Arabidopsis thaliana: one gene and its partner. The protein of the gene in region 1 interacts with the protein of each later gene in a biochemical or structural test. Each region holds a gene or a part of one and is shown in the gene's direction. Other genes may lie near its edges.

Evidence for each region.
Region 2: the proteins of CPL4 (region 1) and RAP74 form a complex in vitro, tested with the Arabidopsis thaliana proteins (one study listed by BioGRID).

Annotation. Positions count from the first base shown.
Region 1 is NC_003076.8:23,477,282-23,482,636, forward strand, and holds CPL4 (C-terminal domain phosphatase-like 4), read left to right. Parts: upstream 1-2,499; 5' UTR 2,500-2,630; intron 2,631-2,784; coding exon 2,785-2,930; intron 2,931-3,039; coding exon 3,040-3,071; exon of another isoform or gene 3,072-3,145; coding exon of another isoform or gene 3,146-3,155; coding exon 3,156-3,268; intron 3,269-3,346; coding exon 3,347-3,527; intron 3,528-3,625; coding exon 3,626-3,924; intron 3,925-4,012; coding exon 4,013-4,198; intron 4,199-4,277; coding exon 4,278-4,643; 3' UTR 4,644-4,855; downstream 4,856-5,355. Other genes in the region: AT5G58000 (Reticulon family protein), read left to right, coding at 1-765, 859-918, 1,018-1,120, 1,209-1,283, 1,371-1,518, 1,601-1,670, 1,757-1,822, 1,905-2,215; AT5G58005 (Cytochrome c oxidase, subunit Vib family protein), read left to right, coding at 4,953-5,036, 5,125-5,262, 5,348-5,355. UniProt on the Arabidopsis thaliana protein: Processively dephosphorylates 'Ser-2' and/or 'Ser-5' of the heptad repeats YSPTSPS in the C-terminal domain of the largest RNA polymerase II subunit (RPB1). This promotes the activity of RNA polymerase II. Required for normal plant growth.
Region 2 is NC_003075.7:7,452,843-7,459,339, forward strand, and holds RAP74 (transcription initiation factor IIF subunit alpha RAP74), read left to right. Parts: upstream 1-1,896; 5' UTR 1,897-1,969; intron 1,970-2,095; 5' UTR 2,096-2,127; coding exon 2,128-2,298; intron 2,299-2,382; coding exon 2,383-2,535; intron 2,536-2,617; coding exon 2,618-2,763; intron 2,764-2,839; coding exon 2,840-3,219; intron 3,220-3,356; coding exon 3,357-3,475; intron 3,476-3,652; coding exon 3,653-3,784; intron 3,785-3,893; coding exon 3,894-4,106; intron 4,107-4,199; coding exon 4,200-4,424; intron 4,425-4,530; coding exon 4,531-4,619; coding exon of another isoform or gene 4,620-4,623; exon of another isoform or gene 4,624-5,154; coding exon 5,155-5,476; 3' UTR 5,477-5,513; downstream 5,514-6,497. Other genes in the region: AT4G12590 (ER membrane protein complex subunit-like protein (Protein of unknown function DUF106, transmembrane)), read right to left, coding at 1-134; AT4G12600 (Ribosomal protein L7Ae/L30e/S12e/Gadd45 family protein), read left to right, coding at 454-846, 1,208-1,366; AT4G12617 (B3 domain protein), read left to right, coding at 6,338-6,497. UniProt on the Arabidopsis thaliana protein: TFIIF is a general transcription initiation factor that binds to RNA polymerase II and helps to recruit it to the initiation complex in collaboration with TFIIB. It promotes transcription elongation.

The DNA of each region.
Region 1 (5,355 bases):
CTTTATTAGGTGTTAATGGAAAGAGACGGACTTGGAAGTCTAGAGCGTCCGATGTGAAGAACCCATCAACGCTTGAGATTGTTCGAGCCAATTCTCTGAAGGTGACGAAGCCGAGATCAATTGGTACTCCTCCGATGACGCCGAGGAGATCGTTGTCTAGTAGTGATTCTAATGATAAGAGTCCGAGTGTGTCGGTGGTGGCGAAGAAGGCAAGATCTGAATCTGTAGAGGGGATTGAGAAGAAGACTACTCCGGGTCGAGTTAAGAAGATCCGATCGGAGGTCTGCACGACGATCGTTAAAGCCGGTGAATTTGATTCAGTTGCGTTGAGGAAAGTGAATTCGTTGCCATCTCCAAATTCTGAGAAATCTGATACGAAAACAGAGCAAGAAGTGACTATCATTGAGAATTCGAAGATCCCAGAAGAAGTCAAGGAGTTTGGTGTTTGTCAGGAGATGATCGTATCTGCTAAATCAAACGAAAATGAGCAGATTGACAATGGCGACCAGGAGATTGGTGATCAAGATGATTATGAAGAAGATGGAGATGAGGAGGAGGAAAGAGAAGTGGAGAAGAAGAGTGTTGATGTGAAGGAGATAAATGTAGCCAAGGAAAACAGAGTTGGTGGTGTTGAGATTAAAAAGTTTAGTCAATTTCAAAACAGAACATCTCCATCTCCGTCGTCCGTTCGTAAAATTTCGCCTCCGGTGATCAAAAGGGCAACTTCTGTTTACTCGGCCCCACCAAATTCTACTTCAAGCACAGGTTGTTTAATCCGAATTTCAGTGCTTTGTTTCATCGACCGCTATTTGCTTACTGAATTCTGATGAATCCTCTGTTTTTCACGACTGTTTCCAGATAGATTTGCAGAGCAAGAAGACAACTTTACTCATTCACAGAGTAAATTGCAGAGTCTGGGTGAGTTTCTTAACAGTTTACTGTGCATAATTCCATCTACAAATTTTTTTACTATGAAAAGTCTAAAGTATGTTAAATAATGAAATGAAATCTGGACAGTGGATCTGGTGATGTGGAGGGATGTATCAAGGTCGACGCTTGTGTTTGGCTTCGGAACATTCCTCATCATCTCTTCTTCCTACGCCAATGATCTCAATTTCAGGTTCTTTAGTTCTTTTCAATTGATCAAGGAGAATCTACACACAAGTTAGTTAAGTAGTATGGAACTAAAATGTGATGAAAATGTACAGCTTCATATCGGTGGTAGCGTACATGGGACTCATCTATCTCGGTCTCATGTTCGTATTAAAATCACTGATCCACAGGTTTGATACATAGACCTATTTCTCTCTCTCTATCTTTGCATGTTGTTTTTGTGATTGGGTTTAATAGGCATGTAATAATGGACGCAGGGGAATGGTGGAGGAGGAGAGACATAAAGTGGTTGGAGTTAGAGAGGAAGATGTCAAGAGGATGCTCAGACTCATAATGCCTTATCTCAACGAGTCTCTGCATCAACTCAGAGCTCTCTTCTCCGGTGATCCATCAACCACTCTCAAGGTAAGTCTTTTTCTTCTCACTTTCTCTCCTTCGTTTCCTCTTTCTCCCTTGACCTTAATAAAGAAGAGATGATGTTTTGCAGATGGGAGTAGTGTTGTTTGTCTTGGCCAGGTGTGGCTCTTCTATCACTCTTTGGAACCTCGCCAAATTTGGTACCTCTAGACTTCAAGATTTCTTGTTTTAAGAAGTGGTGTATGTAGATTTCTGACTTGCGAGTGTTTTGTCCTCGTGAGAACAGGCTTTTTGGGAGCATTTACAATACCTAAAATCTTCATATCATACTCAACACACTTCTCTGCATACGGTAACTAAAAACTCCTTCAATATCTTTCAGTTACATCTTCTATGAAACAGTTTTTAATCAAACAAAGTTGTGTACAATTCAGGAAATTTCTGGATGAGGAGATTCAGGGACGCATGGGAATCTTGCAATCACAAAAAGGCAGTGGCTTTGGCACTTTTCACCTTAGTTTGGAACCTCTCCTCAGTCACTGCCCGTGTTTGGGCAGCATTCATGTTACTCGTCGCCTTCAGATATTATCAACATAAGATGATTTGGACAACTGATCAAGCTGATGATGATGAGGATGACAATGAAGAAGAAGAAGCAGAAGAAGAAAAAGAACAAGTCCCTCCTAAACACAAAAGGGCTCCTCCTCATATGATGATGCCTAATAAACTCAAGAAAATTTCTTAAATATACTAATTGTTTTTCCTCCATATATAAACAACATTTACTATGTAATCTCTTTAGTTTTTAGTTACTTCTCTATACAAAGCTTACAGTTTATAATGTGAATCTGATCTTCTAAGTTCAATTAACTTATGCCAACAATCTAAAACTCACACACTTGAAATATTTATCCATTCTTCTTAAACTTAGTTAGACTTGAACCCAAAAACAAACAATCTTAATTAGGCTTCTAACGGGCTTTAAGCGGGCCTTATTACATAAACTATTCAGCTTTCGTGAAATAACAAATCGGACAGAAGTTGAAAGCTTTACTTCTTCACTTTTACGGTTGCTCACCGTCGTGACATCTCCACTCTTTTCCTTTCAAAATCCAAAATCACGATTTGATTTTCTCTCGCCTCCGACGAACAAGTTTAAGGTACCACTCCATGTTTCTCTGCGATTTCAATTCGAACTCCATGTGACCTTTTCTCTGTCTGTGTTTAATTTAGGGTTTACTCAATTCGTGACTTTCATTTGCGTTGAAAAATTTATCTGATTTTGCTTTGTTGTGACTTGTGAGTGGTTTTCAGATGAGCGTAGCAAGTGATTCTCCAGTTCATTCATCAAGTAGTAGTGACGATCTTGCTGCATTCCTTGATGCTGAATTAGACTCTGCATCAGATGCTTCGTCTGGACCCAGCGAAGAAGAAGAAGCTGAGGATGATGTAGAATCTGGGTAAACTCAACTCTCATATGTCATGCATTCTCTCTAATTGAATCTTCGAACTCTCTACTGGTATTTACAGTGTGTATATTTTCTCAAACCATGTTTCTCAATCTTTTAGGTTAAAGAGACAAAAGTTGGAGCATTTAGAGGGTGAAGCTCTCTTTATTGATTCAGTCTTATTTTTCTGTCTTTCGTTTGTTCGATTGTATTGAATTTTGAACCTTATGCTTGCAGAAGCATCCTCAAGCAAAGGCGAATGCGAGCATCCAGGATCATTTGGGAATATGTGCTTTGTATGTGGACAAAAACTGGAAGAAACTGGTGTTTCATTTAGATACATACACAAGGTATCGATTTCAGAATAGCTTCTCTTAAATCAAATCTTAGTTTTTATTTAATGAGCTTTGGGAAATCTGTTTTCTTAGGAAATGAGGCTCAATGAAGATGAAATCTCCCGGTTGCGTGATTCAGATTCGAGATTCTTGCAACGCCAGCGGAAGTTGTATTTAGTTCTCGATCTAGACCACACACTGCTAAATACAACCATACTGAGGGACCTAAAACCAGAGGAGGAATACTTGAAAAGTCATACTCATTCTCTTCAAGGTGATACATTCAGCTACATTGTTTTGCTTCTTTTTCAAATGTGATCTTTGTGCATGGAACTTCAGTCTAGTATTTGTCTTTTTTTTTGTTCCATCTAGATGGTTGCAATGTTTCCGGAGGCAGTCTTTTCCTACTGGAATTTATGCAAATGATGACCAAACTGAGGCCGTTTGTTCACTCATTTCTAAAAGAAGCTAGTGAGATGTTTGTGATGTACATATACACAATGGGAGATAGGAATTATGCACGACAGATGGCCAAGCTGCTGGACCCCAAAGGAGAGTACTTTGGTGATCGGGTCATTTCTCGGGATGACGGCACAGTGAGACATGAAAAGAGTCTAGATGTGGTGCTTGGACAAGAAAGTGCTGTTCTGATTCTTGACGATACAGAGAATGTAAGTATGATTTGTAATTTGTCAATGTTTCATGTAACTTTTAATCATGATATTGAGTTGTGCTGATGATACTTGGTTTGATGCTCAGGCGTGGCCAAAGCACAAGGACAATTTGATTGTGATAGAGAGATATCACTTTTTTTCTTCGAGCTGCAGGCAGTTTGATCACAGATACAAGTCTCTATCGGAGTTGAAGAGTGATGAGAGTGAACCAGATGGGGCACTTGCAACTGTCCTGAAAGTCCTAAAACAAGCGCATGCTCTATTCTTTGAGGTATGCACTCACTGGATCTAAATAAAACTTATCTCTTGTCTTGTTGGAGTTTGTTGATTATATTATTCGTTTGTTTCAGAATGTGGATGAAGGCATATCAAACAGAGATGTTAGGTTAATGCTGAAACAAGTGCGTAAAGAGATACTTAAAGGATGTAAAATAGTGTTCAGTCGGGTGTTCCCAACCAAGGCAAAGCCAGAAGATCACCCCCTGTGGAAAATGGCTGAGGAACTGGGAGCCACCTGCGCAACGGAAGTGGATGCATCAGTGACACACGTTGTGGCAATGGATGTGGGAACAGAGAAGGCTCGTTGGGCCGTTAGAGAGAAGAAGTATGTGGTTCATAGAGGATGGATAGATGCAGCTAATTACCTTTGGATGAAACAGCCAGAAGAGAACTTCGGTTTAGAGCAGCTCAAGAAGCAATTGACCGAAGAAGAGTGATTTATGTAACAACAATGAGAAAGAAGAGATAGCTTTTTTTTGTTGGATATTAATTATGAATCTATGTCTAAAGTAAAGTTTTGTAATGTACATTACATTGTATCTCTGATATTTAAACAAGGTACTAATTTTTGGTTGATCTCCTTAATTATTTTGTTTCGTCTATGCTTATTTGCGAAGGTCTGTAATCTACCGACAACTTTTTTGGGCCGGGCCTAAATGGGCCGTATATTTATGTCCCTCATCTACTTTCATTTGTTTTGTTTGGTGTTTGTTTCTGGTTTCTGATTCCGTCTTCTTCGCTTAGACATGGCTCTCGATACTTATGCGTCGTCGAACCCTAATGATGTTCATGAGGATGTTCTTCTTAAAGCTAGAGATGCTTGTTACAAGGTCCGTCTTTCTCTCTTCTCATTTTCGTTGTTGTGATACTGATTTGTGTGATTTAGGTTAAATTGTAAGTGATCATTAATTGGTGCAGGCCAGAGATGCTTTTTACGCTTGTCTAGAAAAGGAATCTGGTAAAAAACCAACTGAAATCGCCACCGTGGGTCTTCTCTATCCTAAGGAGTGTAGCAATTCTAGAACCCAATTCGTCAACAACTGTCGGTCCTCTTGGGTACTCTCTTCTTTCAATTAGTTTTGCAAATTGCAATCTTTATATGATTTGTTTGGGAATTAATGGAAGAAATGAAAAATTGTAGGTGAAACA
Region 2 (6,497 bases), on another chromosome or scaffold:
GCATCAGGAGTTGGAGTAGAACGCATAAGCTTAGAGACAAAGTATCTCAAAATACCGATTAGAACCATCACTACGGAGAGAGGAATCAGAACCCAATCTCTGATCGCCGTATCGAGAACTAGATCCTCCGCCATTCTAAACCCTAATTATCTCTCTTTCTCGTCTTCTTCGTCTTCGATCTTCTCTGGTGAAGCAAACAAAACACGATCTGAGATTCTGAGAGAAGAGCTGAGAATCCGATAATTTAGTGGAAATTATTTTATTTTTTTTATTTAAAAAATATCTGAAACCTTCTGAGTCAGAGAGAGGCTTTGATGTGTTCCCTTTATAAAACCCTAATTCGTTTGTCTATTAAACCCAAACTAAAACCCTAGCTACCTTGTTCTCCTCACCGCTTCTTTCTTCCCTGAACTCAGAACTTAGAACAAAGAACTCTCGTAGACGAAGAAGAAGATGACGGTAGAAGGAGTGAACCCTAAGGCGTATCCGTTAGCTGATTCTCAGTTATCGATAACGATTCTTGATCTTGTTCAACAAGCTACGAATTACAAACAGTTAAAGAAAGGAGCTAATGAAGCTACCAAGACATTGAACCGTGGGATCTCTGAGTTCATTGTTATGGCTGCTGATACTGAGCCTCTCGAGATTCTTCTTCATCTTCCTCTTCTTGCTGAAGATAAGGTATTTGAATTTCTTCTTATCGTTTCACTTTCTTATGAATCTCAATTAGTAGTTTCTTTGGCTCTTGCAAGTTTTACTGGATTCACTTGGGTATCTTCTTCATATGATAAAAAGATAAGACTTTATTGGCTATTAGACTCCAGTTTTGAGATTGTGATTGTTGATGTTCGTAGTAATCACTTAGGTAATTTAGTTTATGAATGTAGGAGACAGATTCAATTAGGATTTTTAGGCATTGAGAAGTTCGTTTGTTCTGTATTAACGTAGCTTGTGTAATGAGTTAAATCTGTGATTCTTGGTCTTAGGATTGACAATATCATTACTTTAGCTTCTGAGTATTATGCTCTGTTGATTCATGAATGTTTAGTTGACAGTTCCCATTCAAGTTTTTTTTTTTTGGCCTATTTAAATTTGGCTGCACAAACATATCTTTATTTGTATTCAGCAAATCTGTTTCACAAGCAACATTCTGATTCTGATTCTTTTACTAATTAGTTGTTCTCTCTCTGGCTTTGAACTATTGCAGAATGTGCCGTATGTGTTTGTGCCATCGAAACAAGCCCTTGGAAGAGCATGTGATGTAACCAGACCCGTGATCGCTTGTTCCGTTACATCAAACGAGGCTAGTCAGTTGAAATCTCAAATTCAGCACCTTAAGGATGCCATTGAGAAGCTCCTCATCTAGATTCTTGGTGGAATGAATGAATGATGGGTCTCTCCATTTATGAAGAGGCTTGGACTGAAGTGAGTTTATGTGCAACTTTTTAGCCTATGAGAAAAACAAAAAACTTGTGAACGAATCCTATCCTTTTTGAAGATTGTAATGCTTTTTATTTGATATTGTGTTGGTGCCAATGCATTTATGAACAACAAGAATCCTTTTAAAGTGAGTTTCTTCAATTTGGTTATTTGTTTGGTGACTTTGGTCTTTTGTTGCATAATGGGATAATTGATATGTAATATTGGGAGCCAAATGAAGCACGTAGAACCTATCATAAGTAGGATACAAACTTTCTCCTTCTGCTACTAAGCACAAGATATTAAAACTAGCATGTTTGTATCAAAAATATAAATATTGGATATGGTTAAATGAATGTTATTAAGTTGAGACCCAAAAAAAAACACTTGTATTCTTTGGATCAGTCAAAAGGGTAAATCAGTCTTTTAACATGTAAGTCTTCGGACTCACTATTTATAACCTCCTCTTCATTAGAGATCCCAAAGCTTAACATTCTCTCAAAATCATTCGCAAACAAAACTCTGAATTGCAATCTCAAATCTCAGAAAGGTAATAAGAACCCTAGATTCCAACAACACAATCGTTAGATTTTATCTTGGATTCCTTCTGTTAGCTTCGCAATTAGATTTTCGAAAATCGTGAAGCCCTAAATTCTCTCTTCTTTTACGGTTTCAGAAAGAAGACGATTTCCTTGGGATCAGAACATTATGTCGAACTGTTTGCAATTGAATACGTCTTGTGTTGGTTGCGGATCACAATCCGATTTATATGGAAGCTCTTGTAGACACATGACGTTGTGTTTGAAGTGTGGTAGAACCATGGCGCAGAATAAATCTAAGTGTCACGAGTGTGGAACCGTCGTTACACGTTTGATTCGGGTTAGATTTTGTGTGTTTCTTCAAACAATTTTGAGTTTCTGAAGAAAATTTTGATAAAATTGTTGTTTGGGTGAAATTGTTTAGGAGTATAACGTTCGTGCTGCGGCACCTACGGATAAGAACTACTTCATTGGTAGATTTGTGACTGGTCTTCCTAATTTCAAGAAAGGTTCTGAGAATAAATGGTCTCTTCGTAAAGATATACCGCAAGGTCGTCAGTTTACAGATGCACAACGGGTAATTTTGTGTTTGTTTTGGATCATACCAATCATTTTGATGGTTTTTACAATGAGTTTTGTGTGGATTCTAATTTTTGTAGGAGAAGTTAAAGAACAAACCTTGGATCTTGGAAGATGAAACTGGACAGTTTCAGTACCAGGGACATCTTGAAGGCTCTCAGTCTGCTACTTACTATCTCTTAGTGATGCAGAACAAAGAGTTTGTTGCGATTCCTGCTGGTTCTTGGTATGGAGAATCAAATTACCGTTGCTTCTTCTGTTGTTGTATTATCCGAATTCTGATTATTTTTGTGCTGTGTTAGGTATAACTTCAACAAGGTTGCACAGTATAAGCAACTTACATTGGAAGAAGCGGAAGAGAAGATGAAGAATCGGAGAAAAACGGCTGATGGTTATCAAAGGTGGATGATGAAAGCTGCGAATAATGGTCCAGCGTTGTTTGGAGAAGTGGATAATGAAAAGGAGAGCGGTGGAACCAGTGGAGGTGGTGGTAGGGGTCGTAAGAAGTCATCAGGCGGTGATGAAGAGGAAGGAAATGTTTCTGACAGAGGGGATGAAGATGAAGAGGAAGAGGCGTCACGGAAAAGTAGACTTGGACTTAATAGAAAGAGTAATGATGATGATGATGAAGAAGGTCCAAGGGGTGGTGATCTTGACATGGATGATGATGACATTGAGAAGGGTGAGTGATCTATTACCAAATGATCGTCAAGAAGCTTAAGAATGACTTTAGCATTTTCGTCAATAGATTGACATGATTGTTCTTCATTGTCTATTTAACAAAACTGCTGAAATGTCTGTAAATTATAATGCATTCAGGGGATGACTGGGAGCACGAGGAAATTTTCACGGATGATGATGAAGCAGTCGGTAATGATCCTGAGGAACGTGAAGACCTTCTGGCTCCTGAAATTCCTGCTCCTCCAGAAATAAAGCAGGTCTGTACTTACTATAGTGCTTTACTTCCAATGTACAATTTTCTGTGAAACTAACTGTAGTAATTTCTGTTGGTAATCCCATTTATATGTTATCCAAGTTTCAATGTTTACTAATTACAGGATTGTTGTGCCTTTACTTCCTATGAGGTCGTAACTTTCTTTTGACATCCCTTGCAGGATGAGGATGATGAAGAAAATGAAGAAGAGGAGGGAGGTTTGAGCAAATCTGGTAAAGAGTTGAAGAAACTGCTTGGTAAGGCTAATGGTTTGGACGAATCTGATGAAGACGATGATGATGATTCTGATGATGTAAGCCCTCTTTTGACATATTTTACTTCTTAAAAAATTGTTAAATTTTCAATCAAACTCATTTTATCTGGTTTGGATACACGCAAATCATCATGAATGTCATTCTTAGGAGGAGGAGACAAACTACGGTACAGTTACGAACTCAAAACAGAAGGAGGCGGCGAAAGAAGAACCTGTTGATAATGCACCTGCAAAACCTGCACCATCTGGACCTCCTCGTGGAACACCTCCTGCAAAACCATCCAAGGGAAAGAGAAAACTAAACGACGGCGATTCTAAAAAGCCTAGCAGCTCTGTTCAAAAGAAAGTGAAGACTGAAAATGTAAGATACTTGATTTCTATGTTTGAGAAAGAGTTGATCGTTTGTGCTGGATTTGATTTCTAACAAACAGGTTTCTGTAATCTTTGTAAGCAGGATCCGAAATCTTCTTTGAAAGAAGAGAGAGCAAACACAGTTTCCAAATCCAACACACCAACAAAAGCTGTGAAAGCTGAACCAGCTTCAGCTCCTGCATCATCATCCTCAGCTGCGACTGGGCCTGTGACTGAAGATGAAATCCGCGCTGTTCTGATGGAAAAGAAGCAAGTCACTACACAGGATCTTGTTTCCAGGTTTAAGGCAAGACTTAAGACCAAAGAGGTAATATTTAGTCTAATATTCCTTCTTGAAGTGACCATATGGTTTTTATCTGAGCTTATTCTGGACAAATCAATCGTTTGTGTTATATAACTGTGTCTTTTTACAGGACAAGAATGCCTTTGCCAATATTCTGAGGAAGATCTCAAAGATACAGAAGAACGCTGGTTCTCAAAACTTCGTCGTTTTGAGAGAAAAGTGAGGACTTCCTGTTTTCACAGCTAACTCTTTTCAAAAAGATTTCAAGATATCTCATGAGCTAGTTAAAATAAGAATGTTTTTCTCATTTCTTGATTTCAGATGTTTAAAGTTGGACCTATTTTTTTCCCATGACACTATTAGTAATTGAAAATCTTCAAATGTTTTATTCGAAAAAAATGTTTTATGCGAAGGTTTTCAAAAATGGAATGTTCCAGTGAAAGCCCAATTGTGAAGAGGAAAATAGTAACCATAAAAAAGCCCATTCGTAGGGATCCTATTGTGATTAGGATTTACTGAGATTCGGATAAATACAATTAGGTTTCCAACTGCTTATATGATGGAGAGATAAGATCGTTGGGACTCTTATATAAAGAAACAGAGTTTCTCCTAAGACGAGATTCTACTACTTTTCTCTCCAAAAAAAAGAAAATCAGAGTCATTAAAAGGACAATATAAGAAACTTTGCCTTGGTGAGCAAGCAACGCTACAATATAAAAGGCGAAGTATTATTGTTCTCTCCTTTGTTTTACAGATGTCAGCCTAAACCAGGGAAGAGAGAAAGTCGTGTGAACAAGCTCAACATCCGATCTAATCTTCAACCACGCAAGATGGAACTTGTGACTGAAGACGAAATCCGCAAAGTTCTGATGGAGAAGAAGCAATTAACTACACTGGAACTTGTTATGAGGTTTAAGGAAAGACTTACAACCACAGAGGACAAGGATTCCTTTTCCCATATTCTCAAGAAGATCGCAAAGTTACAGAAGAACCCTGGTTCTGAAAAGTTTGTTGTTGTTTTGAGAGATAATGTTACTCCGCTTGCTTCTGATCTAACTCGTTTATCTATTTCATGATCTCATGTGAATTTAGTAATAATAATAAGAATTTTTCTCGTGTCTTGTTTTCAAAAGGTTTTCAACCGGACCGATTTGGTTCTCGGTGGTGATTTATATGTTAACACAATTACGAAAATATTAACAAAGATGACATCAGATCTTTTCGATGATAATTAATAGTTTGTGTTTTCATATAATTTTCTATTTTGTGGTAATCAACATATGTATCGACAATACAATTAATTTAACACATTTGATAATCTAATTAACACTACAGTAATATTTTGGCTAAAAATAGGTTATATTTTGTAACACGTCTTAGTAAGACGGTCTTACAATATCTTTTTTTTTTTTTAACACGTCTCACATTATCTTACCGAGTTTAAATTTGCAAGCTTACAATTACATGCACCAACAATGTCAAATACAAATCAAAACTGAAACATTTTTTTTTCTTTCTAAAAGTGATGTACTTTCAAAAGAAATCAAGTAATTAATAGTTTCAGTGTTTACTATTAAAAAAATGTCAAATCATCTTTGTCAAATTTTAGTTTACTTTTAACACGTGTTAGAATTGAAAAACTATAAATCTATATATGTCATGATAACATCAAACTATTTATTAAACAAAATTAGTGTTATTTAGTAAAGACAAAACATATTTAATTAATTGTTAATCTCACAATATTTATGAATTAAAGAAAATTGTATCTGCTTATTATCATTATATATACTTTTTTTTTTTGGACGAATTGTTATTATATATACCCTTAACACATAAACAAGGAGATAATAGAAACCTGACATAAATATTTACAGAGTAATTAAGGAACATTAAAAACCGATTTTCATATATATATTGTGTTTAACTCATATCATATGGCAGGTAATAGGTATTTTGAAGATCAGCCGTATGAGGTAGAAAACCCTTTTAACATCATGATAACGTTGTCACCATTTGACATAGATTTGAGTACTACGATAATGATGCCAAAAACGTTACTAGAGGCCAACTTATTTCGTTTCATGGATATAAGTT